Rhinolophus ferrumequinum: one gene and its partners. The protein of the gene in region 2 purifies or fractionates together with the protein of the main gene of each other region. This does not show direct contact. Links are inferred from orthologs where the notes say so. Each region holds a gene or a part of one and is shown on either strand. Other genes may lie near its edges. The genes, in order: CRK, SHC1, PRKCD and GAB2.

Evidence for each region.
Region 1: the proteins of SHC1 (region 2) and CRK purify together in Homo sapiens (affinity purification with western blotting; 3 studies listed by BioGRID and IntAct, with this or other methods). This does not show direct contact. The link is inferred for Rhinolophus ferrumequinum from reciprocal best matches to the Homo sapiens genes SHC1 and CRK.
Region 3: the proteins of SHC1 (region 2) and PRKCD purify together in Homo sapiens (affinity purification with mass spectrometry; 3 studies listed by BioGRID and IntAct, with this or other methods). This does not show direct contact. The link is inferred for Rhinolophus ferrumequinum from reciprocal best matches to the Homo sapiens genes SHC1 and PRKCD.
Region 4: the proteins of SHC1 (region 2) and GAB2 purify together in Homo sapiens (affinity purification with western blotting; 6 studies listed by BioGRID and IntAct, with this or other methods). This does not show direct contact. The link is inferred for Rhinolophus ferrumequinum from reciprocal best matches to the Homo sapiens genes SHC1 and GAB2.

What each region holds. Positions count from the first base shown.
Region 1 is NC_046304.1:16,424,480-16,432,094, forward strand, and holds the start of CRK (adapter molecule crk), read left to right. Parts: upstream 1-4,599; 5' UTR 4,600-4,749; coding exon 4,750-4,990; intron 4,991-7,615. UniProt on the Homo sapiens protein: Involved in cell branching and adhesion mediated by BCAR1-CRK-RAPGEF1 signaling and activation of RAP1.
Region 2 is NC_046305.1:73,064-80,264, forward strand, and holds the start of SHC1 (SHC-transforming protein 1), read right to left. Parts: upstream 3,003-7,201; 5' UTR 2,736-3,002; coding exon 2,166-2,735; intron 1,623-2,165; coding exon 1,552-1,622; intron 1,038-1,551; coding exon 974-1,037; intron 825-973; coding exon 705-824; intron 477-704; coding exon 423-476; intron 242-422; coding exon 190-241; intron 50-189; coding exon 1-49. Other genes in the region: CKS1B (cyclin-dependent kinases regulatory subunit 1), read left to right, coding at 6,176-6,279. UniProt on the Homo sapiens protein: Signaling adapter that couples activated growth factor receptors to signaling pathways. Participates in a signaling cascade initiated by activated KIT and KITLG/SCF.
Region 3 is NC_046300.1:48,622,561-48,629,997, reverse strand, and holds the start of PRKCD (protein kinase C delta type), read right to left. Parts: upstream 3,018-7,437; 5' UTR 2,782-3,017; intron 2,615-2,781; exon of another isoform or gene 2,592-2,614; intron 1-2,591.
Region 4 is NC_046294.1:52,507,075-52,513,973, reverse strand, and holds the start of GAB2 (GRB2-associated-binding protein 2), read left to right. Parts: upstream 1-3,887; 5' UTR 3,888-4,028; coding exon 4,029-4,103; intron 4,104-6,899. UniProt on the Homo sapiens protein: Adapter protein which acts downstream of several membrane receptors including cytokine, antigen, hormone, cell matrix and growth factor receptors to regulate multiple signaling pathways.

The DNA of each region.
Region 1 (7,615 bases), on a different chromosome or scaffold from region 2:
CCACCTTGAATACGGTGCTTGTCCCTGACCCCTTCTCTGCAGTAAGGAAAGGTATATTTGGATGTGTGCCTGCCAGGCCTGGGTCACGTGAATCACACCTGACCGCGGGGACCAAGAATGGCGGCAGATGACTTCTCAAAAGAAAATCGGTGTTGTCTCCAGAAGAAAGGGCATAAGTGGTGCAAGCTGCCACCATAGCACTCATCAGCAGATGGCTAAGAGTTTTCCCAAGCAGGAGGGGCGTTGCAAGCAGAAGGAATGGCAGGCCTTAATGGCAAGAAAATGTTTCGTTTGCGGTCAGGTTACCTGCTGAGTTTAGATTCATCACCTAGGGCAGAAGTTCTCAATGAATAAGATACCACAGCTTGGGCTTAACAAAGTCCTGTGAGCACACCTAGATTTTGACACCTCCCGCAAAATCAACTTATAGAAAAGTGAAAGCACCACAATATGCCCACTCTATCAGTGGTAACAGTGGCTCCAAGAAGCCAACAGATAAGATAAATACCGTGTTAGGTGCAATTACCAGCTTTACAACTGGAACATTCCTTTCGATAGCCAGTTAGTATGCATGGGGGAGTGATGTCATGGACAAACCCAGATGCAGCCAAGGACCCTGTTCTTTTGAGAGGTTAACCAAGACTGGCTGGCACCCCCAGCTCACATACTGCAGGAAGTACACTGCCCTCCAAGAGAGAGCTGCCAAATGTAGGAAGCTAATTTTGGCTCTACACAAGAGCCTCCACCCGACTCCATTTATTCATTCATTCCCTCACTCAACCAACATTTACTTAATGTGCCGGGCTCTCTGAGATAGGCTTGATACATGGGATATTGCAAGAACAAAAAAGAACAAAATCTCTGCTTTTATGGAGCTTATATTCTAGAAGGGAAGAGAGGACAATACATAAAACAAATACGTAAAACAAACAATGGGTTAGAGCGAGGTAAGTGCTAGGAAAATAAATAAAGCAGAGAAGGGGGAGAGGGAGAGTTGTGTGTGCAGTTTGCAGTTTCAAATGGACTGGAGACGACGGAAGGCCTCGGTGAGAGGGCAACACTGGAACAGGGACCTGAAGCCGGTGACTGTGGATTTCCAGCAGAGGGAACAGCAAGTTTTTCTCAAAGCATGGCAGCTTGTTAAAGAAAAAGGAAGAAGGTCCGAGGGGCCTGGAGAGGAATGAGCAGAGTGAGGAGACAGGGAGAGAACATAGGTGCATTTCCATCTCACCTCTCTCAGATGTTCTTGATTTTCTCAGTTCCTTGAGGACCGAGTCAAGGAACTTGGCACCTGCTCCTGGATTCCTCCCTGCAAAAGGCTTCTGTGTGAGCAGCTCTCCTGAAGGATGGGGGCAAGGAGGGGGTTTACGTTGCAGCCAAGCAGACAACTCATTCTCAGTGTCCTACAGGATGTTGCCATTGGGAACATCTCACTGACCTTTCCGGGAAGGTCTGGCCTCCTGCCTTGGTTCCCAGCACATTCTCCTCCTCTAGACTCTCCTTGGAGTCCTCTCACATTTCTCCCCAGAGCTTTCCCCTGGTGTCTGCCTCCAGATCTTATCTTTGCACATGTTAAGACTGGTTCTCCTCTTTGCACAACTAAGGGCTACCCACTGGGGGTGGGGCATCCTTCTTTTTCACAGTCTACAAACTCCAGCGGAGACTTGGAAATGTCTCTGTCTCCTTTGTCTCTCCCCCCCATATGTAAATGAGAACAGGGCAGACGTGTATTTTCCCACTAATACAAACTTTGTCTACACACACTAACCCACTTTTCTCTCTTTTTCACAAGCACTTTGGAAAGGAATACTGTCAGTTTTCCCTCTGAATAATAATTTTTGTTATCTTGATACAAATAATCTTTCTGCTTGCCTGTGTTAAAAGAAAAAGTGGGTATGAATAGCCCAGTTCCAGACGGCCCCATTTATGTAGCACCCTGCAGTTGGGCCGTGCACAAGCTGCATAGCTGAATGAGGCAACTCTGGTCACTTTAGGTAACACAGAGCAGGCAGGCGAGCAGGTTGTTGATTTCCTGCTCCTCCATTGCTAAAATAGGGAATGCCTCTCTTTGGTTAGGAGGATCGGGAATGGAGGATTTTGGTGCGTTTTTCTCTTAAACAGGGCAGACTTCCCTTTTCCCCCCTTTTCACCTGTTTCTCCTTCGGGTACTTTCCCCATCCTCCCACACCACCCAACACCAGGAGCCCTTCCTAAGCAAGAAGATCACATTCTTTGTAGGGCAGGTCTCAGGCTTGTGGGGGGGGAGGGGGGACAAAAGGTGCCATTATTGCTGGAAATCTTGACGTATGAAGGGGAGAGGAGGAGAAGAGAAAGGAGGGAGGAGCAGCGTGGGCTTGCCTTTTGCTTGTCCCAAGGCCACTCCTGCTCCCACCTTATTGACCTCTGAATTAGTAGATTCTCTGTGCTCCAAGGAAGAACACACTGAGTAGCTGCTTGGGGCTGTGGCTCCCCTCCTTGCCAATCTCATTTCTTATTTTCCAGCTCAGTTACGATTTGTCCTTCTTTTCTTCCTTCTTTCATTCCTTCCTCTTTCTCTCTGCCTCTCTCTCCCTCTTTCTTCTTTGTATTTTTTTTTTTTTTTAAAGAGGGTGCAGCTCACAGTGGTCCATGTGGGGATCAAACCAGCCACCTTGGTGTTGTTAGCACCATGCTCTAACCAACTGAGCTAACCGGCCACCCCTCTTTCGTCTTTTAAAGTATTTTTCCCCATCATACCCATGTATCCTAGGGAAGGGGCTTAGAGGCATGGCTTCGGAACCTCACAGGTAGTCTCTGGGTAAGGTTCTGCCTCAAAGCCTGGCAATCCTGGGAAATGAAGAGCAGGCACTTCTCTTTCCCAGAGGGCCAGAATTCACACGGGGCTGCTTCTGCTGCTGGCTTGTAGTGACCTGCTGTGACTAAGCCAGGGTCATGATGAGTCATCCACAACAGGGAAGGTGCCCTTGCTCCACTCCCCTTCCCAGGCAGGACCAGGGGTGTGTGACGTGTGTCCAGAAGAAGTGCGTTATTCATGTAAGACCATAACCCAGCGCTGACTAATTCTTTTTTTTTAATGTCTATTTCCACCATCCTCTCCCTTCCTGCCACTCCCACCGTTCCTATCTCAGACATCTGAGGATATAGCAAAGTGACCATAGCTCTCTTCCAGGATTTGAATCTCAGCTCCCCATTCAGCAGCTGTGTGTCTTTGGACAAGTTACTCAACCTCTCTCAGCTTCATCTGTAAAATGAGGATAGTTGTAAAATACCAACCCATAAGGTTGTTGACAGGATTAAACGAGATGATCCTCATAAAAGCAGCACTATGTCTGGCATCTAGTGAATAATATGAATAAATGTTAGCCATTATTATGTAACATTTATGGGGATGCTTGGCCTTCAAAGAACTCTAGCACGGAACACAGACAGACCTGTAAATGAAAGATTACGGTACACTGGGTAAGAACTATAATGGAGATAATATAACAGAAACATAGTGCTGCCATGCAGAGAGGGAGTGATGTGGTGGTCAGGAAAGGGGGGGGGGCATTTGAGTTTGAGATCCCAAAAGGAGTGGAAGGTCAATCCAGAAAGAAGTAACACAGGGTTCATGGAAAAGTAATTGAGACTGTGGCCCACTTTTATGCTGTGAGCTAAACTGGGAGTTTTAACACCTGGAGAGTGTTAAAAGTTTGTGATTTAGGAAGAGAACACTGGCAGCTGTGAGCACCAATGAGCAAGCTGTTCACAGGAATATAGATATAGATATGGAATGTAGAGACAGAGATGGTCATGATGGCAGGGAGAGTGGAGGACACTCATGGCCAAAATTAGGGTTTAGAAGAATCTGATAGGATGACTTGAGAGCCTCAATGGAGAGGACAACTTCATACTTCTACCTGGCTTGGCATACTCTGTTCCCTTTGTCTTGAATGCCCTTCCCCCTTGTCATTCAATATTCAGGTCATGCCACCTCCTCTGGGAAGCCCTCTTGGATCTCTTTACAGATTGGATTAGGGGGCCCGGCTCTGTGTTCTTAGAACTTCTGTCTGTTCCCGATCATAGCATTTGGCATTCCTTTGTCATTGACTGTTTCCTGGTTCCTCACTGGTGAATTTGGCAAGGGTAGGACTCAGCCTTGATCACCTTTGTACCCACAGGGCAAATGTGTCAATAACCGTTTGCTGAATGACTCAATGAAAACAAGAGCTTTAGGTAGCCTGGGGAGGGAGAAGCTGGAGGAAGTGTCAGAAAAAGACCGTCTCAGGTAGCTGAGTCCGTGGGTCCATATCATCTTTTCTATTCCAATTCTGTCTCGGAGTCGCTGCCTTGAAGTCCTGGGCATTCCAGTAACTTGAAGCCTGGTGGAGCGAAGAAGAATCGAGTAGCCAACAGCAGACACAGACTTCTGTGGATGGCTGGTTGAGGCCCAACCCCCTTGGCCTGGACTCCGCCTCTCCATCCTCTGCAGTCCCGGTCCCCGCCAGGGGGCGACGCCCATGAGACCGCATGCGCAATACGCGCGCGAGCCGTCCCTTGCCCTTCTCCCAATGGCGGGCGGAGGTCCCTTTCCCGGCATCCTCCCGAGGGCAGGGAGCGCGTCATTTCCGGTGGGGAAGGCCCGCGGCCGCCGCCGCCATTTCGGGCGCTGCTGTGAAGCTGAGACCTGAGCCGGTCCGCTGGGCGGCGGGCGCCGGGGCTGGAGGGGCGCGCGCGGCGGCGGCCCAGCGTGTAGGCACGGAGGCAGCCATGGCGGGCAACTTCGACTCGGAGGAGCGGAGTAGCTGGTACTGGGGGCGGTTGAGCCGGCAGGAGGCAGTGGCGCTGTTGCAGGGCCAACGGCACGGGGTGTTCCTGGTGCGGGACTCGAGCACCAGCCCCGGGGACTATGTGCTCAGCGTCTCCGAGAACTCGCGCGTCTCCCACTACATCATCAACAGCAGCGGCCCGCGCCCACCGTTGCCACCGTCGCCCGCCCAGCCTCCGCCCGGTGAGGGACGGACAGGACGGGAGGCCCCGGGCGGGGGTGAGGGCCGTGGAACTCCCCAGCCTTGCCGGCTGCTCCTCGCGAGCTGATCCCCACGAAGGACGTGGACAGAGGGCTGGTGTGATCGTGGCAGGGGGCGGCTTGCTGCTGGGGCTGGTTCCCACAGACCAGCGGGAGTGTGGGGGAGGAGGAGCCGCTGACCCAGGCCTCTGGGTGTGACTTGGAAGGACAGCCCAGGGGAAGGGGAACTGCTTCGGCCCCAGGGTGGGGCTAGCGCCTGGGCCAGGCACAAGGGCAGGGCCAGGCAACGTGGGGACAAAGAGCTGAGGGGAATGTTGGCACTGCGGGGGCATCACTTGGCAGCGGTGCCCAGAATGAATCCGATAATCCTACAAGTGGCTTTTTAGGCTTGAAACATTTCCTGCCATGCTAGGAAGCCGGGTTTGGCTATACTCCCCTGGTGGCCTTTGGTAGGAAGTCACCACATACTGGCCTGGAGGGATGGAGACACCCTTCAGGAAACCGCTCAGCTTTTTCCTTTCTTGGGCATTTTTCCAAAAGATTTTTACCGTCCTCTTCCCTCGCGGAGGACGAAGGTGGTGAGCTCAGTGCCTTGGTGATAGATGGCCCTGTATGGCCAGCCCAGAATAAGTGGATGCCTGGATGACTGTACCCAAGAGATCTTAGTGTCCAGAAGACTGCCCTCCGCAATTCGGGGGCTCTATTTCTCAGTGTTTAGTGGAGGAAAGATTTTTGTTTTCTTTCATGAAATAAACCAGAAATAAGCCAATGGAAACAATCCCTTCTCTGAAAGTGAACGGAACTTCATTTTTCCTGGGACTTAAGCATTGTCAGTCTTGTACTTGAGGGCCTCTTCTTGCCCAGTAAGTTGGGGCTGTGATCTGAGTCTTTCTAGATATTGGGAACAGACCTTGCTGGGTAGATGCTCTGAGAATTTAAATGATCAGCACTGAGTCTTCCTTGCCAAGGATGGATGCGATATGACTGTCTTACCCCTGCCATTGGAGTTGTTGGGGGAATATTAGGGACATTTATGCACTTAGTGCTTGCGCTTTGGGAGGGACAGAGTGACTCTGAGGTGACCGTTACCTGTGTTAACAGCACCAAGAAGAGTCCTTGTGCCTTCTCACTGTTCCCAAATTGAAGCACTTGCCTCTTGACCAGCTAAGACCAAGCCAGTCTCAAGTAAATTAGGAGGCTCCTGAGCCCAGCTTTGCAGACTTACCCTTTTAGGATTGTCTTAATTTAGATTTATATACTCTGGCCAGAAATGGGGAGAAAGGATAGTCAGTCTGTTAGTTCTTAACATAAACCAAGTTTAAAAAGAGTGTGAAACCAAGTTTAAAAAGAGTGTGGGATCTTTAAGTACACAAATTATCCTAGGTCTTTCTCAGTCTGGTTGGTTTAATAGCATTATAACATGAGATGGAAATATTGATGTAACATTTGCCCTATACCAGCGATAGTCTACTTTTTACCACATGCATGGTATCTAGGGGTTTTTGTTACAGTGCGGTGATACGATGGCAAATTGTCACTGAAACTCAATTTTCAACCTTGTTTGTATATGTGTTTTATTGGTTGCAAAATTTGGAAATGGCGGCAGGCAGGTTTCTTAGTTTGAGCTCTCTCCACACCTAGGCATTATGATTTTATATCTCAGTGTTTGATATTGAGCTCCACCTTTTCATAACAGAGGAGTTCAGATCCTTGGCCCAAGAGAGAAGGTAAAGATTGCCACAGTTTGTCGATGGGGTGTGGAAAGTTCATGGGCATTGTGGTAATTCTTTCTGCCATGGACCCTATTTTACATGTAGGGCAGGTGGTTCGGTTGCTCTCTTTATAAAGGCTACTTAATCTTTTTTCTGACCTTCCCCCATCAAGCTCTTTTTCCTTTGAAACCACACAGGAATTTCTTGAATTTCAGAAAGGCATATACAATATTAATAGCTAACATTTACTGACTGGCTGTTCTATGCTACGTACTTGGCCGAGCACTTTATGTGCCTTACCTTATTTACTATCTGTAACAATCTAGTGAGGAATGTCCTGGGATCTCCATTTATTAAAATATTTCCACTTGATAGATGAGGAAACTGAGAATCAGTCAATTGCTTGGTCACACAACTTGTAAATATTGAGCTAGAATTCGAACCTGGGAATTCTGACCTGAGAGCTGACACTATTACACTGTATTCCTTTCTGTCAAAGCCAGTTTACTTGTGAGGTCCCAGCAGTGTTGTACATAGAGGACTCAACATATTTGTCTCTGTACTGGGGTCCCAGGTTCTGCCTGAAGACCAAAAGAAAAGGATGGCAAGAAGAAACTGGCTTTGGTGTTCAGACAGTACACATCTGTCTAAAATCAATGATGAAGAGGCTTTTAAACTCCTACTTATTTGGAAAAGTAAATATGGGAAATGGGAGCTTTTTTGCTTAGGGTAATATAATGTATTTTGTGGGCATGATACCTAGGTAGAATGTGTGGCTTAGATACGGTTTTTAGAGGCTTAGGGATAAAATTGACCAGGAATTCTCAACGTTTTATTTATTTTTTAAAGATTTTATTGGAGAAGGGGAACAGGACTTTATTAGGGAACAGTGTGT
Region 2 (7,201 bases):
CTGATGACGTCCTGAGCAAGCCCTTCGGGACACTCCAGGATGTGGCAGGCTGGGGGCACAGCAGAGGCTGTCGGTGAGCCTGAGGCAGGGGTGCTGGGAGGAGGCACGGACAGGAGCCCCCGCTCGGCTCCGGGTCCTGCTCACCTGCCTCCCGGCCAGCCGGCCCCACCCCGCTCCCCACTGCCTCACCTCTTTGATTCACCGGGTCTTTGGCCACATAGGCGACATACTCGGCTGTGTCCTGGGGAGGACAGTCAGGAGAGGCCAGTTAGCTACATCGAGTAGCCCCACTCACGCCTCACCCCGCAATCCCAGTGCTTTCCAGATGGAGCCTCCATCCTGGCATGCCCGTTCCGTGAGCCCGTCTTCCCAACCAGTCCCTTACTCTTTTCCCGCCATCTTTGCTCTGTCCCCCAACTCACCGGGTCCCCGCCGGACGCAAACGAGATAGATTGCATGTGGTGGTTGGCAATGATCTGAGGGTTAGGGCAGGGGGCGGAGAAGGAAGGGAATGACGTGTCAGGCAGCCTCAGGCTGAGCTGAGCGCTCCGCACCCGGCCCAAAACCGGCAGTCCCCATTTCATCCTTCGGGCTTCTTACCCCACATCCTCCTGATCTCCTTTCCCACTGTCCTGCTGCACCCAAGCCCTTTCCTAGACCCTCACTCTCACAGCCAGGCCCCCGCTTGGCCCCCTGTGCGCTACCTGCTTGCAGTCCGCGGCCATGAGGTTGAGGCTGCTGGTGGACACGGTGAGAGTGATGGGCATCCCAGCAAACTTCAGGTTACTCCTTCCCAGGATGGAACTGAGCGGGCGGCCACAGGGCTAAGGAAGGGCCCGAGGGTCTCAGAAACCGGGGGCTCCCAACACCCAGAAAGCCCCCACTCCTGCCTGTGGGCCTTCTCCCCACACTTGCCTTTGCCCAGCCCCTCTGCACCTCCCACAGCACCCCCAGCCCCTTCGCCCCCGGGTACCTTTCTCCTTTTTGTCGCCCCCTTAGCACCTGGCACAGCCTCACACACCAGACTGATGGCCTCCCTGGGGAAAGAGGGGTGCTCAGACCCAGAGCCTGCCTCCCACTGGGCTGGGGCTGCCACAGGGCTGGGGGAGGGGAAGGCCAGGCCAGACTCCAGGGGCACTCCAGGCTCTTTGTCGTGGTGGATTGAATTAAGGGCCTTTAATATTTGATGACACTGAGAGGCCGCTTCCTGGCTGATTGGGTTAGGGCCTCAATGGGCGGGCCCCACCCCCTCCAGCTACCAAATGTCCCACTCCCTTCCCAAAGGCAGCAGCAACCTTCCATCTACCCCCATTTTCTACTCAACCTCCAGCTGCCAGCTGCCTCTGCCACCTCCCCCCACAACTGCCAAGGCTGGATGAGTAAGAAGGATCCAGGCCAGAGTTGCCTCTTTTCATTCAGACTTAAGACTCGCTCCCTTCACTTTCTCTCAGTCCCCTTTACCACCCACAGATAAGCCGTCACTGGCACCAGCACCGAGTGACCCACCCGGGCTCCCCTTCTGCGCCCCCAGCCCTCACCCCCTGCACTGACCTGGTGACCTGAGTGCGGGTGTTGAAGTCCAGGGCTCGCATCGACTGCAGGACCTCCACGCAGCCCATGTACTGAGGGGAAGGGGGGTGTCAGCCGCCGCGCCCACCCCTGGCCAAAGGGGCCTGGGACTTTTCTCTGCGTGTCCCTCAGGACAGTGCAGATGAGGCTCCGCCACAGCCCACAGCACACAAGACAACAGGCAATGAGGAGAGGGGAAGGGCGAGCTAGCAGGCCATGAGGCCTCTGGGAGGAGTGACAGGCGTGGGGGGGCGGGAATGGAGTGACATCTCTAGACACGGGGAGCAGACTGGAGGGAACAATCAAGAGTCACTCATCCCAACACTCACTAAAGGTGCTCCATGGGCTGGGCAGGTACCAAGCCTGGAGGGGTGAGGGTGGCGTGGGGGAGTCACAAGAGGGAAGGGGGGCCCAGGCAGAGCTGGGAGGGAAGGAGCTGCAGAACTGGAGAAGGAGCCAGGCAGGTTTAGGCAACAGGGCACTGCCCCCACGGGAGTCGGGAGTTGCTGGGGACGAGCCGGGGACGCCCACACAGCCAGAGTGAGTGCAGGCACCGGGTGGGGGGGTCTGGGAGGCAGTGGGAGCCGTTCACTCACCCGAACCAAGTAGGAAACCCCGGGTCCCATGACTCTGTCGTTGGGGTGCAGCCAGCCCCGCGTGGGCTTATTGACGAAGCTCCCGTGGCGGGTCCACTCCTCGCCCCCCAGCTGGCCCCCTTCCACCCGAGTCCTGCGCCCGCCGCCTCCACTCAGCTTGTTCATGTCCTGGAGGAGAGGCAGAGGGCCCGAGTCTGGCACGGCTGCCCCTACGACCCCCTCCTCATCCTCAGCCACCCTGCCTGGCTCCCCCTTCGGCCCCGAGCGCCCCCCAGCCGGGTTGGCCAGCTTCAGGTTGCTCATCCGGGGGAAGAAGGAGCACAGGGTCGTGGGACTATCGTCCGCAGGCAGAGGTGGCAGGATGGGCCCCAGGGATGAGGCTGACGGCGAGGGGAGCTCTTCCGGTGGGGTGGACTCTGAAGCCCCCTCCTCCAGCGATGACAGAGACTCATTCCGAAGTGGGTTGTACTTGGGCTTGGGGGGCAGGAGATCCATGGCTGGAGTGAGAGGGAGGCTGCTGCCCAGCCCGGCCCCCCTGCCGGTCAGGGCAAGGGGGCCAGGCAGGGGCATCCCCAGGCCCTTGGCCCGATCGGCCCGTTATGGCCCAGGGATCTCAAGGGTTCTGAGGAGGGAGAGGGACCAGTGGCTCTGGCTTCTCCAGCTCCTCCAGCTCAGACCCAGACTGTTGCCGGCCCCATCCCCGCCCAGCGTGGAGCTTCTTCTCTGGCTGAGGGAAGAACGGGCTGGACCTAGAGCTGCCTGGCTCCTCCCCAGGGGCGGGGAGCCAATGCGAGGGACCAATCCCGAGGACACTGCTGACTCACAGGCTTGAGGGATGAGCCCCCACACCACCACTGCACCCATACAAACAACTAGTAATCTGGGGAGGAGTAAAGGAGGGGTGGGAGGGGAGGACCAAGGAGTGAGAAGGAAAGGAGGAGGATAAGAGAAGGTCTGGATCAATCCAAACCGGACACGGGCAGGCCAAAGGGAGCAGGAAGCTGTGGGAGGGTGGTGGGGAATGAAGGAGGAAACAGAGGCAGCTGGGGGTGGAAAAGGGAGGGGATCCCTGAGCTCAGCATTTCCCTTCCTGTCCAGCTTGAACACTTGAAAGTCCCCTCTCTCCAGCCCAGGCCACCCCCCACCACTAGCAGACAGTGGGGTGGTGGCCCCAGGGAGCCTGAGCCTTTAGCATGGTCTGCTACAACAGCTGTGGACAGGAGCTAAAGAAATGGGGAAAGAAGGAAGTGGTCCCGGGGGTGCAGAGGGGCCAGGAGGAAGGGCACAGCTGGTGAGGTAAGGGGGATAAAGTCCACCCTGGGTGGTACAGCAGGGAGAGGAGCTGGAGCAGAGGGCAGGCTGCTGGAGTCTTGTTCTCTGTGCATGGCACCTACCATGCCAGGGAGCGCCAGCCGGCCACCGCCAAGCACTCTTCTGCCCGTCCCCCCGTTAGCAAAGCCGGCTATGAAGGGTAGATGGGGAAGCAGGACACTGACACTAAGGTCAGCTCCCTGCACCTGCCAGGTATGCCATACCCTCCGAAGAGGGTACACGTGTCCACCAGGGAGCACAGTGCCCCTCACATCAGGGGTGCAGCTTGGCTGGAGGAGGTGGGAGAATGAAACAGTTCTCCAAGAGAAGTGGGGGCTACAGACCATGAAGGGAGAAGGGGGCAGAAGCTAAATCTGTTTTAAGTACTGGAGAAGGGTGCCAGGGTCCATGCGCTGAGGCTGGACACAGGGCACCGATCCCAAAGCCATTCCTTCCTCCCACCGCTTCCTGCCACAGCTCTGCCCAGGGAGCCACAGAGGAAGTTGGAAAGTGACCAGAAAAGAAGTAAGATCCCCATACCCCCCAGGCTCACCATGGAATTACCTATCTTTAAATTACTTCAGAAGATAAAAAGGTGCCAATAGTCATATGATTACAATAACTAACAACACTAGCACTGAAAACGTGTCGGATACTGTGCGAAGCTCTTTCCCCTGCCCTTAGTCCTCCTCAGAGGAGCGCGCTGTCATTCCACCACTCCTGACAAGGAATTCTAACACTCCATTTGCTACAGCTCAGAGCTCGGGCACAGAGCGCAAGGAAAGGATTCAGCCATAACCCCACACCCCCCCGACACGCGCGCGCGCGCGTGCACACACACCCCCCCACAGCAGGATTGCTCATCTTTAGCGATGGGCGTCCTGTACGTGCCCGCAGGGCATGACCAACAGGTGTGGGCATTTGGAGAAAAAGAAAGAGGAAGTAGGGCTCTTTAAATCTGCATAGGAATGAGATTGCCTCCTGGGAGTCTGGGTGATGGGGTGTGGGGGAGAAGCTGCAAGTGCCTCCCCGGCCCAGCAGGGAGGAGGAGACGAGAGCGGCGGGAAGTCGCAGGAAATGGCGAAAGCCTCAGGAATGTTTCCAGAAGGGAAGGCTGGGCAAGCAGGACCAGAAGGAATGCCCAGACAAGAACTCCAGTTAGGGGGAGGGGAAGAGCCAGAGTGGTGGGGGCTGCGCAGCCCCTTAAAAAAAAAAAAAAAAATCAAACAGCAAAACGGTCTCTGTCCCCTACACCCACTCCAAGACACCCTTCTCTGGTGGTAGCAAACTTGCGCTCCTGCCACAAGAAATAAACGGCCCTCCCCAAATCCCGCGCGGGGTACAGGTATAAAACATAACAGCTGTTTCTGGGGTGGGTCAGTTCTGGGAAGGGAAACGCAGGGAGGGGGGCTAGGAATCTAGGAGCAAGTCTGTCTCCCACCCTCGTGCCAAACCCCAAGTCCAGCCCCCTTCAAGAAGGTCCATCCTTGGAAGGGGCTGCCTCTAATCTCCCTCGGAGCCAGAGATGGGAACTTGGACTGCCCACCCACGGAGCCTGCCAGCTCAGGGAAACTGAGCCTAAGGCCCAAAAGAGAAAAAGGACAGGGAAACGTTAGCAAGTGGAGTTCCTGACAAAGCGTCGGAGGCGAAGCCCTGGGTCCCACCAGGATAAACCTCCCGAGGGGGCGTGGTCCCCTAAGACGCGAGCCTCGGAAACTTCTTACTAGGAGGCGAGGCTTCTGGACAATCAGACGTGGATTAAGGAAGGGGCGGGACTTGTAGGGGGCGGAGCCCCTAGAGAGGCGTGGCTTCACGAACTCGAATGCTGTAGTTATTTGAGGGGCAGGGCTTTGCCCTTTTGGAAGATAGGCTTTTTGATAGACAGGAGTTAGCGGAGAATCATCGCGCTGAGGCGGAGTTTCGGGGAATTGGAAGGACTAACGTGGGGTTTCTTGTAGTAGGGCTTGGAAGCATGTCAGGGGGTGGGACTTCCAGGAAAGCTGGGTGACAGGGTGCGGTCAGGGACAATAAATAGAAGACAAGTCGGGGTTCAGGGAGCCCCTGAAGTTGGGAGGTGGGACTTCCGGGGAGGGGGTCTCAGGGGGCGGGACTTATAAATGAAGACCGGAAGTAGGGTCCCGGGAGAGGGGTTCCGGGGTGGAGGAGTGGGTCACCTAGGGAGAAAAAAAGTCCCCACTCACCAGGGCCTCATGGAGTCGCTGCACCGCACCGCGGGCTGATTTGGTTCTGGATCACGCCACTACCTCCTTAGGTCGCTGCTCCAACTTTCTCCCCGGGCCCGGCCTCCCAGGAGAAACTTTATTGCACTCACTTCCGGCCTCGCTAACCCCTGACCCTCTACCTCACAGTCCCTCCTTCACCCGGCCCACTTTCCCGAATCAGCCAATGGCAGTGCGGGAACGCGCACAAAGCAGTGTTAGCCAATAAGAGGCCTCTTTTTGACCTCAGCCCGTTCTTGGGAAACGCAAGGAGTCCGTTCCAATGAGGACTCTACGAGAAGCAAATCTAAGCCAATAGGAGGCTTGAAAGTGGAGTCGTCCCGCCTTAAGTCGAGGGGCCCAATAGGAAGCCCAGGCGGCGTGTTTGAAAGTGAGGCCAAAGAGGGTGGGGAGCGCGTGCTGCTGGGAGTTGTTTGGAGGTTGGCGGCGCGGTGCTGAAGGTCCTCAGACAGAGCGATCATGGCGCACAAACAAATTTACTATTCGGACAAATACGACGACGAGGAGTTCGAGTACCGGTTAGTGCCGGCGCGGGGGCCATCACGAGGTCGTGAGTTTGACAAGTGAGGGCGCGAGGAGTTAGTAATCAGGAATGAAGCGACAGAATCAGCGCATGCGCAGCAGATTAACGGGACGGGTGTGAGATAGTTGAGAGCGTAAGGCGCATGCACGCAGGGTCGGAGGCGGCGGTGAAAGAAACAGGGGGAGCGAATTTGGAGGGAGAGCACTTGGGGGAGGCGGAGGTAGGCGTGGTTAGAGTGTGCGTGCTGACCACCGTCACCTTGGAGGTGCCTGGAGCATTCGCAACTTGATTGAGGAAGTTGACCTTGCCTTCTTGAAACTGCTTGTATTACGGCAACACCGTAGAATCCCAGAGCCTACTAGGAAAAGGTGGCAAAGGCGGAGCTCGAATTTTCCTCGCGTCTTCAGTGGAAGGGAGTTAGGAAAGCCCGAGTGTTGCTCATTAATTCATGGAAAAGGGGCGTGGTTGTCCGGCGTGTGTAGGGAAGGGGACTTCGAGGAACGGAGTGCCATAAAACTGGCTAGGAACATTGAGAAAAGACTTCACATGGACCTAATCGATACCCTTCAAATATCTGAAGGGGATCTATTTAGGAAGCCATTACGGAGTGCTTACAGGTTTCAGGTGTTCTCCTGAAGTGCAAAGATAAGCCAAGCCGAAAAAATCTGGAAATACTGATTTCAGAAAGGTGCTCTGTACAGATTGTGATGGAAGCACATAGAGCTTGCCCAGGCTGGTGAAGAAAGGAATCCCTACAGAGTTTGCATTTGAGAAATCCTAAATGCTTAATTCTAGATTGGAGAAGGATGGAAAACAAAGGGTTCTACAAATGTTGGCATTCCACTAGTCTGTTTTAACTATAATACTTAAAACAACTTCCAAGTTTGTATCTTGTCTTCTCAATTGAAGAACATAAAAGGGAAATTTGTTTGTGTTTCTTCTCCAGCCCAGTGCAGGGCTCT
Region 3 (7,437 bases), on a different chromosome or scaffold from region 2:
GCATCTTCTAGTAGAAGTGATTCTCACATTACCCATTGTGCCCATTATACAGCCAAAAGAAACTGAGGCCCAGGGAGCTCCTGGAAGGAAGGAATAGCAAAGGCAGCAAGGTGCCCTGGGTGTCCAGGTTGAAAGACCTGAGCACTTTTTCTGCATGCCAGGCCTCCACAAAAGATGCCCCTCTTCAGATGTGAGCCCCTCCTCCAGCTGAAGATTCCCATCACCATTCCCTGGGGACCGAGACACCCTCAGGCTTTATCTTTTTGTCTGTACTTTAAGTTACTTCTAATTTTAATTTAAACTCCAATTAGCTGTGCCAGCTAAATGGTGTCAGTGCCCTGCAGTCACAGCTCCAAATCACCCCTCACCGCTCTCTCCACCACTGCTGCTGAGACTGGGGGGAGGGGTGTCATCATGTGGGATGAACAGGGCTGGATGCTGGGAGGGTTTCTGTCAGTCGTCTTCCCTCCCACAAGCTGCCTGGTCAAAGGGAAGGGAGGCAGACAAGAGACAGATTCCCCGGGAGGATACTGGGTTGGGGGACTATCTGGGCTTTTATTAGCCCCAGCTCCCAGGAGAATAGGGACCATACAACTGGGGGGAGGTGGTCACCAAATAAGACTTAGCATGTGCTGAGCTCTCACTATGGGCTAAGGCTGTGCTAAAGGACCTGTGACACAGGACCTCTAGTCATCAACTTTCTCCATTCCGCAGATAAGGCAAGAGATTTAGAGAAGCCTAGCTCTGGTCTCTTGCTCTTTTAAGCCCAGGTCTTCTCTGGGTTCAGAGTCCAAGGTCTTGGTCATGACACTACAAACCCCAAGACTTGTCCTCTGGTGTCTGGCAACTTGGGGGGGTAGAGGAAGGTGAGAAATGAAGGTCTCCCTACTCTCCCCAGGAGCCAGGGCCGGGCTAGAGCATGATGCGTGCACACCCACACACTGGGGCTCTCACCTTTCCTCCCAACACTGTCACCCCAGGGCACAGGCACCACACACCTTGTTTCATCCCCTCTTGCTCCTGACACCCACGCCCAAGCACTCTCAGTTCCCCACAAGCACAGTTACTCCCATAGCACACAGACTCACAGTTTCATACAGTCAGACTGTGAGTGTCCCACCAGTCATAGGCCCACACCACGTCTTGCTCCCTGCTCCGGTCCTGTCATACACCAGATCCCATACAACACCCTACAGCCAGGTATAGCTGTCCCAAAACCTCCACATCACACACACACACACACACACACACACACTCACACTCACACTCTCTCTCTCCACAGCTGCCCTCTGCTGGCCTGTCCACCACACCCCAACTCAGTTCACAGCAGGAACAAGGAAACCTGATGGAACAGTCCCCTCTCTTGGTGACTTGGTCAGCCTGATCACAGTGGCTCAGTAGCAGAGGGAGAGGAAGCACAACATGTGAGTGTGTGTGCGTACACGCGCACACACACACACACACGCACAACACACTCAGAAAGACACACACATGAACCTGGTGGGCTGGAACCCTAATACCGGGGCTCCCACAATTAACAGCTTGAATATACTCATGGGCCAGTGGGTCACCACGACACACCCAGTGCAACATAGGACCCTCCAAACACACAGGGATGTATACACATAGTTGCAAAGGGCACACAGAGCTTCAGAACACCCAAACAGATACACACAACACACACACACACACACACACACACAGAGGCAAATCATACATGAGAAACAGGACTCACAGGGGCAAGCTCCAAACACAGCGACAAAGAACACCCAAGCGGACACAGACACACAACATACTTACACGCTTAGACATACAAGCGACCCAGCTCACGAAGACAGGATCCATACATACAGGGCAGGGGCCAGAGGAGAAGGGGGTCAGCCCTCCACTCACAGCAAATCCTTCTGATCAGCTTTAAGTGGGGGCTCAGTGGGGGAGGTGGGAAAGTGGGGCACTTCTGAAGGTGCCCACCTTCTTCACCCCACTTTCCTCCACCGTCTCCCCTCACCGGTCTGGGACCCCAAAGGCGTGGTGTCTGGATTGCGGAGGGGCCTGGGGCAGACAAGTCCTTGAACAGGCCACCAGGGTAGGGGGCTCAAAGGAGCAAAAGGGCGAGACGGGAAGGGGAGGGTGATGGAGACGAGCCACGCCCAGCCCGGAGACAGATGGAGAGACCGAGAGACACAGAGACTGAAAGGAGATAGAGCGAGGAGGAGGCACCGCGCGGGCGGGGCTGGGACCCAGGGCCGGGAGGCGGGAGGCGAGGCCCGGCGGACCGCCAGGCTTGGGCCGCGCTGTAGAAAAGGAGAGGCGGCGGGACAGGCTAGGGGCGGCGAGCGCTGGCCGGGGACGCGGCTCCCGGAGGACGAGATCTAGGGGGCGGCGGGGGATGGGGGTGGGGCGAAGGGGCATGCGAAGGGTGAAAGACAGACAGAGACCAGGGAGAGGCGGACGGGGGGAGGGGGTGGGGACAGATGGACGGACAGAGGGCCCCAGAGATTCGGGAGGGACGGGTGGACTTTCGAAGGAGATGGGGACACAGGCGGGTAGTGGGGCTGGGAGCTGACGGACAAGAGGGCCTCGGCCCCTACCGTTGAACCGAGGGACAGACAGACGGGGGTACGGAGGCACCGGCGGGTCCCGGGGCGCGGCGACACTTTCGCTGGCGGCGGATCAGTTTCTCAGTTTCGGAAACGGGAACCAGAGAGGGGAGGGGGAAGGGAGGGGCAGCGCGCCCTCGGGGTAGCTCGGATCCCACGTTTGGAACCGGCCCTCACTCACCTCCAAGCGCAGGGCCAGGCGCCAGGGGTCGCGGCAGCTGGGGTCCGGCTCCCGGCGCGGCTCCTGGGCGTGCGCTCAGACGTGGGTCTTGGTGGGGCCAGACCCGGACGGGCCCGGCGGCGGGTGAAGTACCGTCCCCGCCTCGGCGCGACCGGCGGGTGCCGGGGGTCGCTCCGGGGATCCCAGGGCCGCCGCCTCCCGCGCCGCTGCACACGGAAGTACAAGGGGGCGGGGCGGGGCGACCTCACCCAGGTGCCGGCCCCGGCCCGCCCCCGGATCAGGGCCTGCCCCTCGAAGGCCCGCCTCCGCGCGCTGGAGCCGGGGTCCAGCATCTCTGCCTCTGCTCGAGTCACTCAGTGTCTGGGCCTCTCTGCCCTCCCCTCACACCTCGACCCCGGTCTCCCATCAGCTCACGTACCAGCCCTTAGAGGGGGCCGCATCATACAGAGGACGCTGAGGCCCGACGGAGGGGGCGTTACCTCCGCCCCCACCCCAAAGCACGCAAGCCGGGAGGCGCCCGCGGGGGTTCCCCAGATCCCGGCGCCCACGCCCGGGACTCCCCACCAGCCTGCTGGCCAGTCACGCCAGGCCTCTCTCTTTCTCTTCCTGTTGACTGGAGTGCAGACGCGGCGGGGCTCGGTGCCCGCCGCCAGGCCGGCTAGTCCCGGCCCTGCCCCTACACGAGCTGGGAAGACTCCAGGGCGGGAGGCTCTAGCTGGTCTGCGGCTGGTCAGACCCTTCTGAGAGCGATCCCTAACCCGATGCCCCAGTGGTCCGCTCTCCCGGCCGGGCTTTCCAGAGCTCTCCATCGCCCCGGGTAGGCGCCTAAGCTTCCTTTCCAGACTTGGAACTTGGCTGTCAGGCATAACTCATTCATTCGTTCGTTCATTCATTCATTCACTGAGTATTCCCTGGGCTGAAGTCTGGAGACGGAGTGGGGTCCAGGGAGTCCATTTCCTCTGCCTCCAAAGCTCAGAAAGTCAAACCGCTGGCTTTGTACTCCAAAGAAATGCCACTTTCCAGAGGCATAGAAGAGGGTTCCGGGTCTCAGGCCTCCTGCGGTAACCTCTAGAGGGGATGAGAAGAGTCCAGACTGCTCTTCCCAGCTGAAGAGTAAGGGATGAAACTCGGGGTGGGAGTGGGGCAATCCTGAGGAGGCCTGAGCTGGCTTTAGTCTTCTCAAGGAGCAGGTGGTGGCAGCTATTACAACGGATTGCGCTCCTGGGGCGATCATAGGACAGAGGGGAAGGAGAAAGGAGGGGGCTGGATGGGGCAGAAGGGCTGTCACATTCTTCAGGTGGGAAGACCCTGGGTTGGGTAAGATGGGTCCCTTACAGGGTTGTGTGAATAGCGGGTGGGGATGTTGAGAACCCTAAGAGAGATGTGGATCCTGAAATTCTGTTTTAAGTGTGTGCAGGCGGGGGCAAAGGGAAGTGTCTGGACTGCAAAGAGAAAAACTGCAATGACTCTTCCCACCACAGAGAGAGGGGGGCCCTGGTGCCCTACACCTGGGAAGGAAGACCCAGCTTTCCACCAAGCTGGACTGCTCTCACCACACTGGACTGTCATTTGGGAAATAGGCATTATGCCTTACCTCACAACCAAACCTTTGAACATGCTGTTCCCTGGGCCACGATGCCATTTCCCACCCACCCCCATATCTCTACCTGTCTGGGTTGTGATCACTTAAATGCTTCTCTCCCTGAGCCCAGCTGTGAATCCATGGCATTTCCCTGAGCTAAGGAACTGTATTCCTATGTATTCATTAGCCTGTTTTGTGTCCTGGTCTCCCCGCCCCAATCCCATGACTTCCCTGGGGTTGGGCTGGAGAAAAAGGTGAGTCAAGGTGACTCCAGGTGACTTTTGCCCACCTGGGATCAAGTTTCCTTTCTGGCTCCTCCCTCCAGATCCAGTGGCCAACCCAGCCTCTCCCACAACATCAACAATAGGCTGACCCAGTGCCAGAGACCACCGAAGGGGAGGGCTGACCCATGGGGAGCTCCAGGTTCTGCCACCAGACTTTTATTCCCACACCTTAGGTTCACCTTGGAAAATGGAAAGTAAGAATAATGGCTATCACTGACGGAGCTTCCCTGGTGCCAGGCCCTTTGCTGGATACTGAATGTGTGAATCTGTTTGGTCCTCAAGACCCTTTAAGATGAGGGCCACTATTAGTGAGTGCCACTTTTGGTGATGGGCAAATTGAGTCTTTCAAAGAGAGATAAAGCCCCTTGGTGAAGGGTACACAGCTAGTAAATGGCAGAGGCAGAATTCCAACTGGCTCCAAAACCCATGTTTTAGTTCAGGAGTTCTCAATCTCAGCGCTACTGACTTTCGGGCCAGATAACTCATTGTTGTGGGAACTGTCCTGTGCATTGCAGGATGTTTAGCTGCATCCTTGGCCTCTACACTAGATGCCAGTAGCACATCCTCAAATTGTGACAGATAAAAATGTCTCCAGATACTGCCAAATATCCCCTCGGCGCCAAAAATCACCCCTTGTTCAGAACCATTGCTTTAGAGTGGGGCTGGTGTGACAGGAGCAAGAACGATTTAAATTAGACACCAGGAAGCACTTTCCTGGCCCTCAGGATTATAGAGCCCACACTATGATGAGGGCAGAGGAGGGATGCAGGTGGGCTTCCCTCCAGAATCAAACTGTGGGACCAACAGTCCCAGGGAGAACAGGCATTTGTGGGGTCCAGGAATCCAGGTCAAGCTCAGCTGGAGCCACTCTGCATGCTGGAACTGCTCTTAGGTGCCACACTGGGTGGGCCAGTGCAAGATCCAGATGAGCTTGCCTTTGTGCCCCCATAACCTACCTGGACCCAACCTTAGATGGGCCTGCTGAGGCCTGGGTGCAAACCTTGGCTGTGTGACAGCATGCTAATTGTATGATCTTGAGCAGGTGACAACACCTCTTTGATCCTGAGTCCTCAACTGTGAAAGGGACTGATGACAGACCCATGTCAGGGGTTGAGTAAAAGGTGAGGTGAGACGATATGTGTGGACACCCATTAAGGGCTCAGCTCACATTGGCCAGGTATGGTCACTTTGCTGAGTCACAGGCTGTCAGCCTTGGAAGAGCCCTCGATAGCCTCTTGTGACATGGGGCATAAATCTCCAAGTAGGGCTAGGCCCATAGCAGCCACCCAGAAGTGGTACTTTCCCTTTCTCCTCCTCCAGGTTTGCTGCAAAGGAAATGGGCCCATCAGGGGTAGCACTGGGTAGTGTTCAGACTCCTACCCCAGCATCCACACAGAGCTGTTCCTCTGGGGCTCCCTGGAGGGTTTGTCCAGAGGAGGGTCAACCTGCAACTCCTACTCCACCCAGAGGCCATGAACCTGGGGGCCTCCCCCCACCAAGCCCCTCTACAGGTAGTTCCAGATTCAGCCAAGCAACCTGGAAAAGGCCTGGACCTCCCTCTATCGCTTGGGCCTGCCCAACTATGGGCAGGATAGGGTCCCCCACTTGATCCCTGTGTAGAATTGGTCCTTGTCCTGGCCTTTCTGCCTCTTACTCTCTGTTTGTGCTTCTCTGTATTACCATCCCTGTCCCTGAAGCTTTGGCTGCCAGCACCATCCCCATCACACCCAGAGCACTGGCCTGGCCAAGGGAGAGTGAGCTCATGTTTCCGGAGAAGGAGGCGCAGGCCAGCAGGGATGGTGTGCCTGAGTAACTGCTGGGGTAGCAGAGCCTTGGAAGGTCCCACTGCGGATAGAGCAGGAGAGAAGGGCATTTGGGACATGGTCCAACCAGTCAGTGGCCATGCCTCAGGCCACCAAATGGTCACGAGCAAGGATTTCGGCTTTGGGCACTGGATAGGGGGCAAGTGAGGGCAGTGACTTTGGGGGCAGTGCCACATGGTAGGGAAGTGCCAGGCCAAGGGGCTGCAGGGTCCAGGTTCACATCCCAGCTCTGCCGTGGACCTGTGACTTAACTGTGCCTCACCTTCCTCATCTGTGGATTGGAGATAATAATAGTAATACAGTGGTACCTCGGTTTTCGAACATAATCCGTTCCGGAAGAACGTTCGAGTTCTGAAACGTTTGAAAACAGCCAACAGCTAGGCTTCAGGATCTTGCACTCAGCAGAAGCTGCATGACATGTTCGACTTCTGAGGCGTGTTTGAAAACCGAAGCATTTACTCCCGGGTTTATGGCATACATAAACCGAAATGTTCAACGGAGACATTCAAAAACCGAGGTACTACTGTGTTGTCCTGATGGTTTGTTGAGAGGATGGAAGAGATCAAGCTCATGAAGCTCTGGTGCAAGGCTCAATCTATGTTGGTGTAACTGCCAAAGAGTTGGTCCTACCCAAGTTCCGTCCGGGGCTCATTTGTGTTTGAGTGAAGCTTGAGAAATACTTGGGTTAGACAAAGGGAAGGTACTTTCTGGGAGTGCAGGGCACAGATCTTTCCTGGGGCTCCCACGGAGGTGTGCAGCCCCCAGACTGCCCCAGTCCTACACTGACCACTGCACAACCCCTGCCCCTCTGAGTCCCCTCTTCTGGCTTGCCTAACCCGCAGCCCCGCAAAGAGGTTTGAAGGAGAGGCAGTTTGGGCGTTGGTGGTGTGCCAAGGGGCAGTCACGGAGCGACAGCTATCCCGACGCACACAGACCCAAGGGATTCCCCACGCAACAGCACCCCCTC
Region 4 (6,899 bases), on a different chromosome or scaffold from region 2:
AGGGGACTTGATTTTTCCAGCTTTGCTAGTATCGTGTGTGGGTACAAGGGGTTAAGTGCTAGAGCTCCTCCAGGACTGTCACAGTGAAGCCAGATATCAGATAAACCATAAGTGATTTCATGCTTAGTCCCAGAGAGGAGGGTGTATGGGTAGTCTGTAGAACAGGGTCAGGGATTGGAAACCAAGAATTAACATAGTTAGCTCTCTGGAGCCTGGGGGTAGAAGTCAAAAGGTCTAAGGAGCCATTGTTTTTGCTACTACCCAAGAGTTTTAACCATCTTTTAAAAATGAAAGTGCACAGGATTACCTCCACCTGCTCAGCCCTTCCCACCAAGCCAGTCCCTGTGGGTTTAAACACTCCAGCTGCTTATGAAGACCTCCACAGGTGCTCCTCCCTGGGTTGCATGGATCAGACAGTTCCAGATGCTCACTGGTGCCCACACGTTATCCTTCAAGGGTTGGTTCCTTTATTCTCAGAACAAATATTTAATGAATATCTATTGTGTGCCTGGCACCATGCTGGGAGGCTCCAAGGAAACAGATATTTGCAGTCCAGTGTGACAACTCAATTTATGTAAGTGTAGTGTGGATCTAAGAAAAGAATGAACAACTATGCTCGGAAATGAGGATGTTGAGTTTTAGGGAATGGGGTCTTGACCTATGTTCAAGATCTAATTCAAGGGTCCATTGTGCCAAGTATGGTGTGGAGTATGCACACTCCCCAGGGACCTTGACAGACTTTGTTCTTGGGAGAATATGATAACTGATATTGCAGCAGGATCTGTGAACACTGATTTTGCCACCCCACTAATGTCAGTAGAAATGTCCCAGGAGCCTAACTGCCCCAAAGTAGTTAACACAGGTTCTGGTTCTTTACAAAGGAAAATTAGGAAGCTGGACTTGCTCAAACTTTTCTCTTTAAGAAGTTTATTTCCAAAATGTCTCCCACGGGGTGTAATGGCAAGTATCAGACTGTTTGGCAGCCGCAGACAGGGAGGGAACCCAATGAGGTCTTCAACCACACCCCAAGCCCACTTCCAGATCTCTGTCCCAACCAGATGCCAGAAGTTGATCTGAGAAGGTCAGAATAACTTGGTGGACGGAACCAAGTGGGCTCAGAGCACCCAGAGGTTAAAGAAGTGCAAACCTCAACATGCCTGAGAGACAAGTGTCATCAAAGTCACCAGCCAAGGTGACTCAGCCGGCCACATTGACCTTGGCCAGCAGCACTCAGCTCTGAAATTAACCTGTCAACTAAATTGAAGAGGAGAAAAGGCAGAAGCTCTAGGACACAAGCATCCATCCCCACCCCCAGTGCAATCACTGACGTCAGCCCTGGCGTGGGTGGGATTAATCACACCAGCTTGGTGTGCAGTTGAGGACAGCTCTCCTTCCAGTCCTTCCAACCCGTTTCTGGGAGCATTCTGCCAACCATGCACCTGCCGCTGGCCACAAACCCTCAACGCCCAGACAGGCACGGATGCAGGCTGTGGCTGACGACACACAAAGCCACAGTGCACCCTTTAGAACCCAGGCTTTGGCGGGGGGTGGGGAGCAAACGTGGTGCCCATGCTTCCCTCCCAGGTGTGCATTTGTCTAATCTCTTCAATGTTCCCTCCAGAGAAACCCTCCCCACGAGATGGTCATTTCCTGGGGATTTAATGAGAATATAGAATTAATGACCCAGAGCACCCCTTGCAGCCGGTCATTAATTCCTCCAGGAAATACCCGTGGTCTGTAATCAAAATTGCCTCAATTACAGACTAGTGGTGCATGTCCTCACAGGTTGGGGGGCTGTCATCCCAATTGGTTCCAATAGATGGCGCTTAGTTTCATGTCAATGAACCACTCAATTTGTTTTCCATTTCTCCCCAGCGAAAGGCAGGGAGCATTTAAAAAAATAAATAAATAAATAAATCAGGGAGTGGAGAGGACTTAGTTAGGGCCCAGGCAGGAACGTTCTGTCCGAGGTCTGTTTCCAGACCTGGCACGCACCTCAGGCTCAGAAGACGGGAGCCACACCAGGGTACAGCCAGGGACCTCAGCACTCCGCAGTCCTGCCTCCTATGTGCAGCCTAAGCTGGGCACTGGCAGTTTAGCAATGAAAAAGGTAGGGTAGCTGCAAACAAACCATGCAGACTACTCAGGCTCTGCAATCCCAGGGACTTGGCACCATGACTCAGATGTCAATGAAGTCAGAAGTTGCTTTATTTTGGTTGGGAGTCACTGCCTCCTGATTGATTTGGCAGACTTGAGTATTTTGATATGTTTCACAGGGTTTTAAAGTACAGGATTTTAAAGACAGAGGTTAAAAATGGTCATAGTTCTGGTGGTGGCCCTTGTATGTGACTAAAGAATCCCTAAATTGGAAGGTTACGGGAGCTCTGGTCCCAGCTATAGCCTGATAGTTCTGGCTTTGCATTCAATCCAGCAGCACACTAATAGTGAAAAAAGTCAGTGAAATGTTGGCTCCAGGGGAGCAGATTTCTAAACCTCCCAAAGTAAAACCTCCCAGGATCTGTAAAACCAGAAGGGTGTCCAAATGTTTGCAACAACTAGCTTTGCTGCAGTTAGGAAATGAACAAAACAGCCTTCCTCTAAAGTACAGGGAGTGCAAGATGCTGCTTCTCGCACTCACCTGCCCACAGCACAGTTCCCTGTTTGTATAGTGGGTTACTCTTATCTAAGAAGTTGGGGGAGGACCTACCTTTTAATATTGCTTGTGAAGGTACATTGTGAGTGGGAAAGAGCCCCTACCAAAGGTTTCCCCCCTCCACACTCCCCCTGAAATGTGGGGTAGTCTAGTGTGTGCTTCCACAGACTTCATTCATATCATATAAACTTCACCACAATGCAGTGAGAGAGGTACCATTATATCCCAATTTTTATACGAACGCCAGAGCTTTCTCATAACCTGTGTCAATAAGTTGGATTGCTGTGGAATTTTGACCCAATTCCTTATTCTACACCACCTTGCCTTCCAATTCACTATGAACTACATTGACTTATTTTTACTTCCTTGTTTCTGCAAATATGAATTTTCTTTCACTAAATTGTTTTTCCCAGAAGCAGTGAAGGAGCCAGCTGGACTTTATTTCCTGGTAGATAAAAGGCCCCCAAGTAGATCTGCATACATTAAAGCCACTCCCCCACTTTAAAAAGCAGACGAGCAGGACCACCCCATACCCCCAGAATTCGAAACTTGGCTCTGCGTCGCACAGGCTTTGGGACTTTATCTGTAAAATGGGAAGAATACTGCCCGCCGGATTTGTAGACTCGTCAAGACAATCATGTAAACAAGGAAAGAAAAGCACCCAACACACAGTATAGCAGTCTGTTTTTATCATTCCTTCTCCCGCCAAGGGGGTGCGAGAGTTAAAGAAACTGTTGCTGGGAAGCGGATCACTAATTTCAGCCAGAACCTGACCCACTGAAACCTGAAACTCTGGGAATGGATAGGAAACTCGAGCAGCCCTCGGGTCCCTTCCTGACGACCCTCTGTGAAAAATCGATTCGAGATGAAGGGCGCGCAACCCCTTCCCTGCACCCCACCCCCACCCCCACTCCTACTAGGGGCGCGGCCGCCTCCCCCGCACGCTGCCGGAGGCTTCGGGAATAAAACAAGACGGGGTCGGGGGGAGTCGGGCAGCGCGGCCGGCTGCAGGCTTCGGCGCCCTCCCGAACCTCGGGCCTCTCGGGTCCGAAGACGCGAGGCGGTGTTTTCCTCTAGGAAGCCTGCCGGCCGGGGGCGCGGCGGGCTGTGGGCGTGGCGAGCGCGCGCCACCGTTCTAGTAGCGCCCCCACCGCGGCCGGGCTGGGAGTGCGCACGGGCGCGCGCGGGGAGAGCGGGCGCGCGCGGCAGCCGTGCCCGCGCCGCGCCGCCTCGCCTCATCCTCACCCGGCGGCCGCGGGACGCCCCGGCCCCTCCCCTCCCCCGCGAGCTGCGCACCGCCTGCCCGCTGACCCAGCCGCCGGCGCCCGCGCCCTTGTGCTCCCGACCCCGCGGTGGGCTCCAGGCGACCGACAGCATGAGCGGCGGCGGCGACGTTGTGTGCACCGGCTGGCTGAGGAAATCGCCCCCTGAGAAGAAGTTGAGGCGCTATGTGAGTGCGGGCGGTTGGCGGGCGCGGCCGCGGAGGGCGCGGGCGGGGGGCGCCCCGCGGCCTACAGAGGGGCTGGGGGCTCCGGGAGGGGCCGTGCGGACGGGGAGGGCGGACCCCGGGGCCTCCGGGGGCCGAGGATCGGCCGGCGCGCCTCGCGCCTCGGGTCTGTGTGGGGCACCTGCACACCTGTCACAGGTGCGCCGCCGAGGGGCGGGGCGGGCGGGCAGGTGGAAGCTGCGGCTCTCTCTCCGCGGGGCGGCAGCGCCTCCCCAGCCGGCCTCCCTGTAAACTACATACAGTATTGAAGTTTGTATTGATTGTTTTTGGAGAGCTAGGAGTTGATTCCCGGAGCTGGGGGACGGTAGTAACCCAGAGCGGCTTCCGCCTGCAAGGTTGGGGGAGTGGGCGGGAAAGGGGGGCGTAGGCTGTGGGTCGGTGTCGTGCGGCCCCACAAAGGGCGAGGCGCCTCACACCCTTTCCCCATTCCCTGCCTCTGCTCGCCCCTCCCGGTGGCCGCCTGCTTCCTTCCAGTCGGGTCTCTGCATCATGGGCAGCGTCAGCGGCATGTGCAGCCCTTGTACTAAGTGACTCATTTGTTTGTCCCCCTTCTTTCCCTTTATTCTGTATGTCTCTCACATACATACCGCCGCCCCCCCAACTCCTCGATGGTGACACTGCAGTTTGCTCTGCTATAACTGGCCCTGGTTTTTGTGTTGTGCAGTCCTGGGTGTCTGGGGTCGAGAGAGATCAAGGTTCTCAGTTGCCAGGTGGTGCTAACCGACAGTGTTTACTGAAATTGCTGGGACAGCCACTCCCTCCCTTCTAGGTGCAAAACGGGCAGCATCATGGGAAAGGTGGTACAGTCTGGTGCTGAGCGGTGAGGAGGTCTGGCTCCCTCCTGCCCTCCACCCAAAACAAAAAGCAAAACAAAAACAAGACGCCTTGCTTGGTGGGGTCAAAGTACAAGCTGGTGCCAATTACTGAGATTTGGCTAACATCAGCTCTGGGCTGTGAGCAGGAGTTTGGAAATAGAAGTAAGGTCGCCAAAACGTGTCAAGGTCTCCCATCCTTTTTCCCTCTTCACTTCCTATGAAATGTCCTTGTTAAACTGACTAGTAGTGCTGGACTGTCTGGGATCGTTCCCACAGCATGGAAGTGAGCTAGCTGTTGCATTCCAGCTGCAGTGCATCAAGGGAGCTCTGAATAGACCCTGCCCTCTGTCAGCTGCACCAGTGGCTGTCCATGGGGGGAGAGGCAGAAGCTTACCAGAGTTTCCTGTCTTGGCTCCCCAGATCAGAACCAAGGGACTTCTGGCCTCTGGATTGAGGAAGTGACATTCTGTTTTTCAAAGGAAGTGTTGTTGTTGGGGAGTGCAAATGTATGTGTATGTACGTACATGAAATCAGGCTCTTATTTATATCATTTGCTGGGAAAGCATTTGAAGGATTTAGCACGGGACTTTTGAAAGTGGACATAGATTTAAAATATAGTAGGAATGTGGCAATGAAGTATTCATCTCAGTTTTAAAGCTCATTTTCAGGGGTGTCCATGTAGCCAAAGAATGAATTATAATTGCTAAGAAACTTTTCTACTCTTCAGGGTTGTATCAGTTCATTAGGAAAGGTGAATTTTTATATTAGGTTAAGGAACAGTAATTTACTACTAATATTTTTGTAAATATAAAAAACAAAAACAGGGGCCGCCCGGTGGCTCACTTGGTTAGAGCGTGAGCTCTTAACAAGGTTGCCGGTTCAATTCCCACCTGGGATGGTGGGCTGCGCCCCTTGCAACTAAGATTGAAAACGGACTGGACTTGGAGCTGAGCTCTACCCTCCACGACTAGACTGAAGGACAACGACTTGACTTGGAGCTGATAGGTCCTGGAGAAACACACTGTTCCCCAATATTCCCTAATAAAAAAATTTTTTTAATAAATTAAAAAAAAGAGTTTTAAAAAAAAATCTTTGGCCCTCAAAGAGCTTCTGAAAACTATGAAAAGTGTAAGACCATACCAGCTAGTAGAATAAAGTATCCAGTAAAAATGTGACTGTTAATTGTCAAATTAGAACTCTCTCCCCAAGAACCTTGAAACTTTATTTTTGAAACAGTTTGCAAACAATTTGATATTGTATCTACATTTGACCAATGACTACTTCATTTCTATCACCCAGACTCTGTGACCCATTTCTTGGGTATTTTTGTTTCCAAAAAAAAAAAAAAAACACAAAAATAACTTCACCTCAAAATAACCAAGCTTGGAGGCTTTTGGATCAGGCACCTTTTTTACCCATACCTCATTTTATTGTGCTTTGCTTTGTTGCACTACACAGGGGTTGTGTTTTTACAAATGGAAGACAAGACCTCCACCAGCAAAAAGATTATAATTCGCTTTACTGAGAACCTAACTTGATTGCAACACTCGCTTTATTGTGGTGGTCTGGAACCAAACCCGCATTATCTCCGAGGTACGTCTGTACATACTTGACACCCTGCAGTCATGCGATGACCTCAGCCTCCTTCCCATCTTCCCCACAGCTCTATCCCATACGGCGTCTGACCAAACTAACAGCTTTTCTTAGGCCACGAAGTGATGTGTCCCATTGGTGTGACTGGAAGTCTCCTTTACTATGGACGTGTGGTTCTCCTACTGAAAACTGAGCTGATCTGTGTAACCCTAAACTCTTGAGGAACCGTCTGCTTTTATATCTTCTTTTCTTTTTAGGTACTGAGAATTTTTGCACCCAGTTTTGAGTTAGAATTCTGCCAGTTCCCTCTGTTCACTAGAGGCCTAACTCA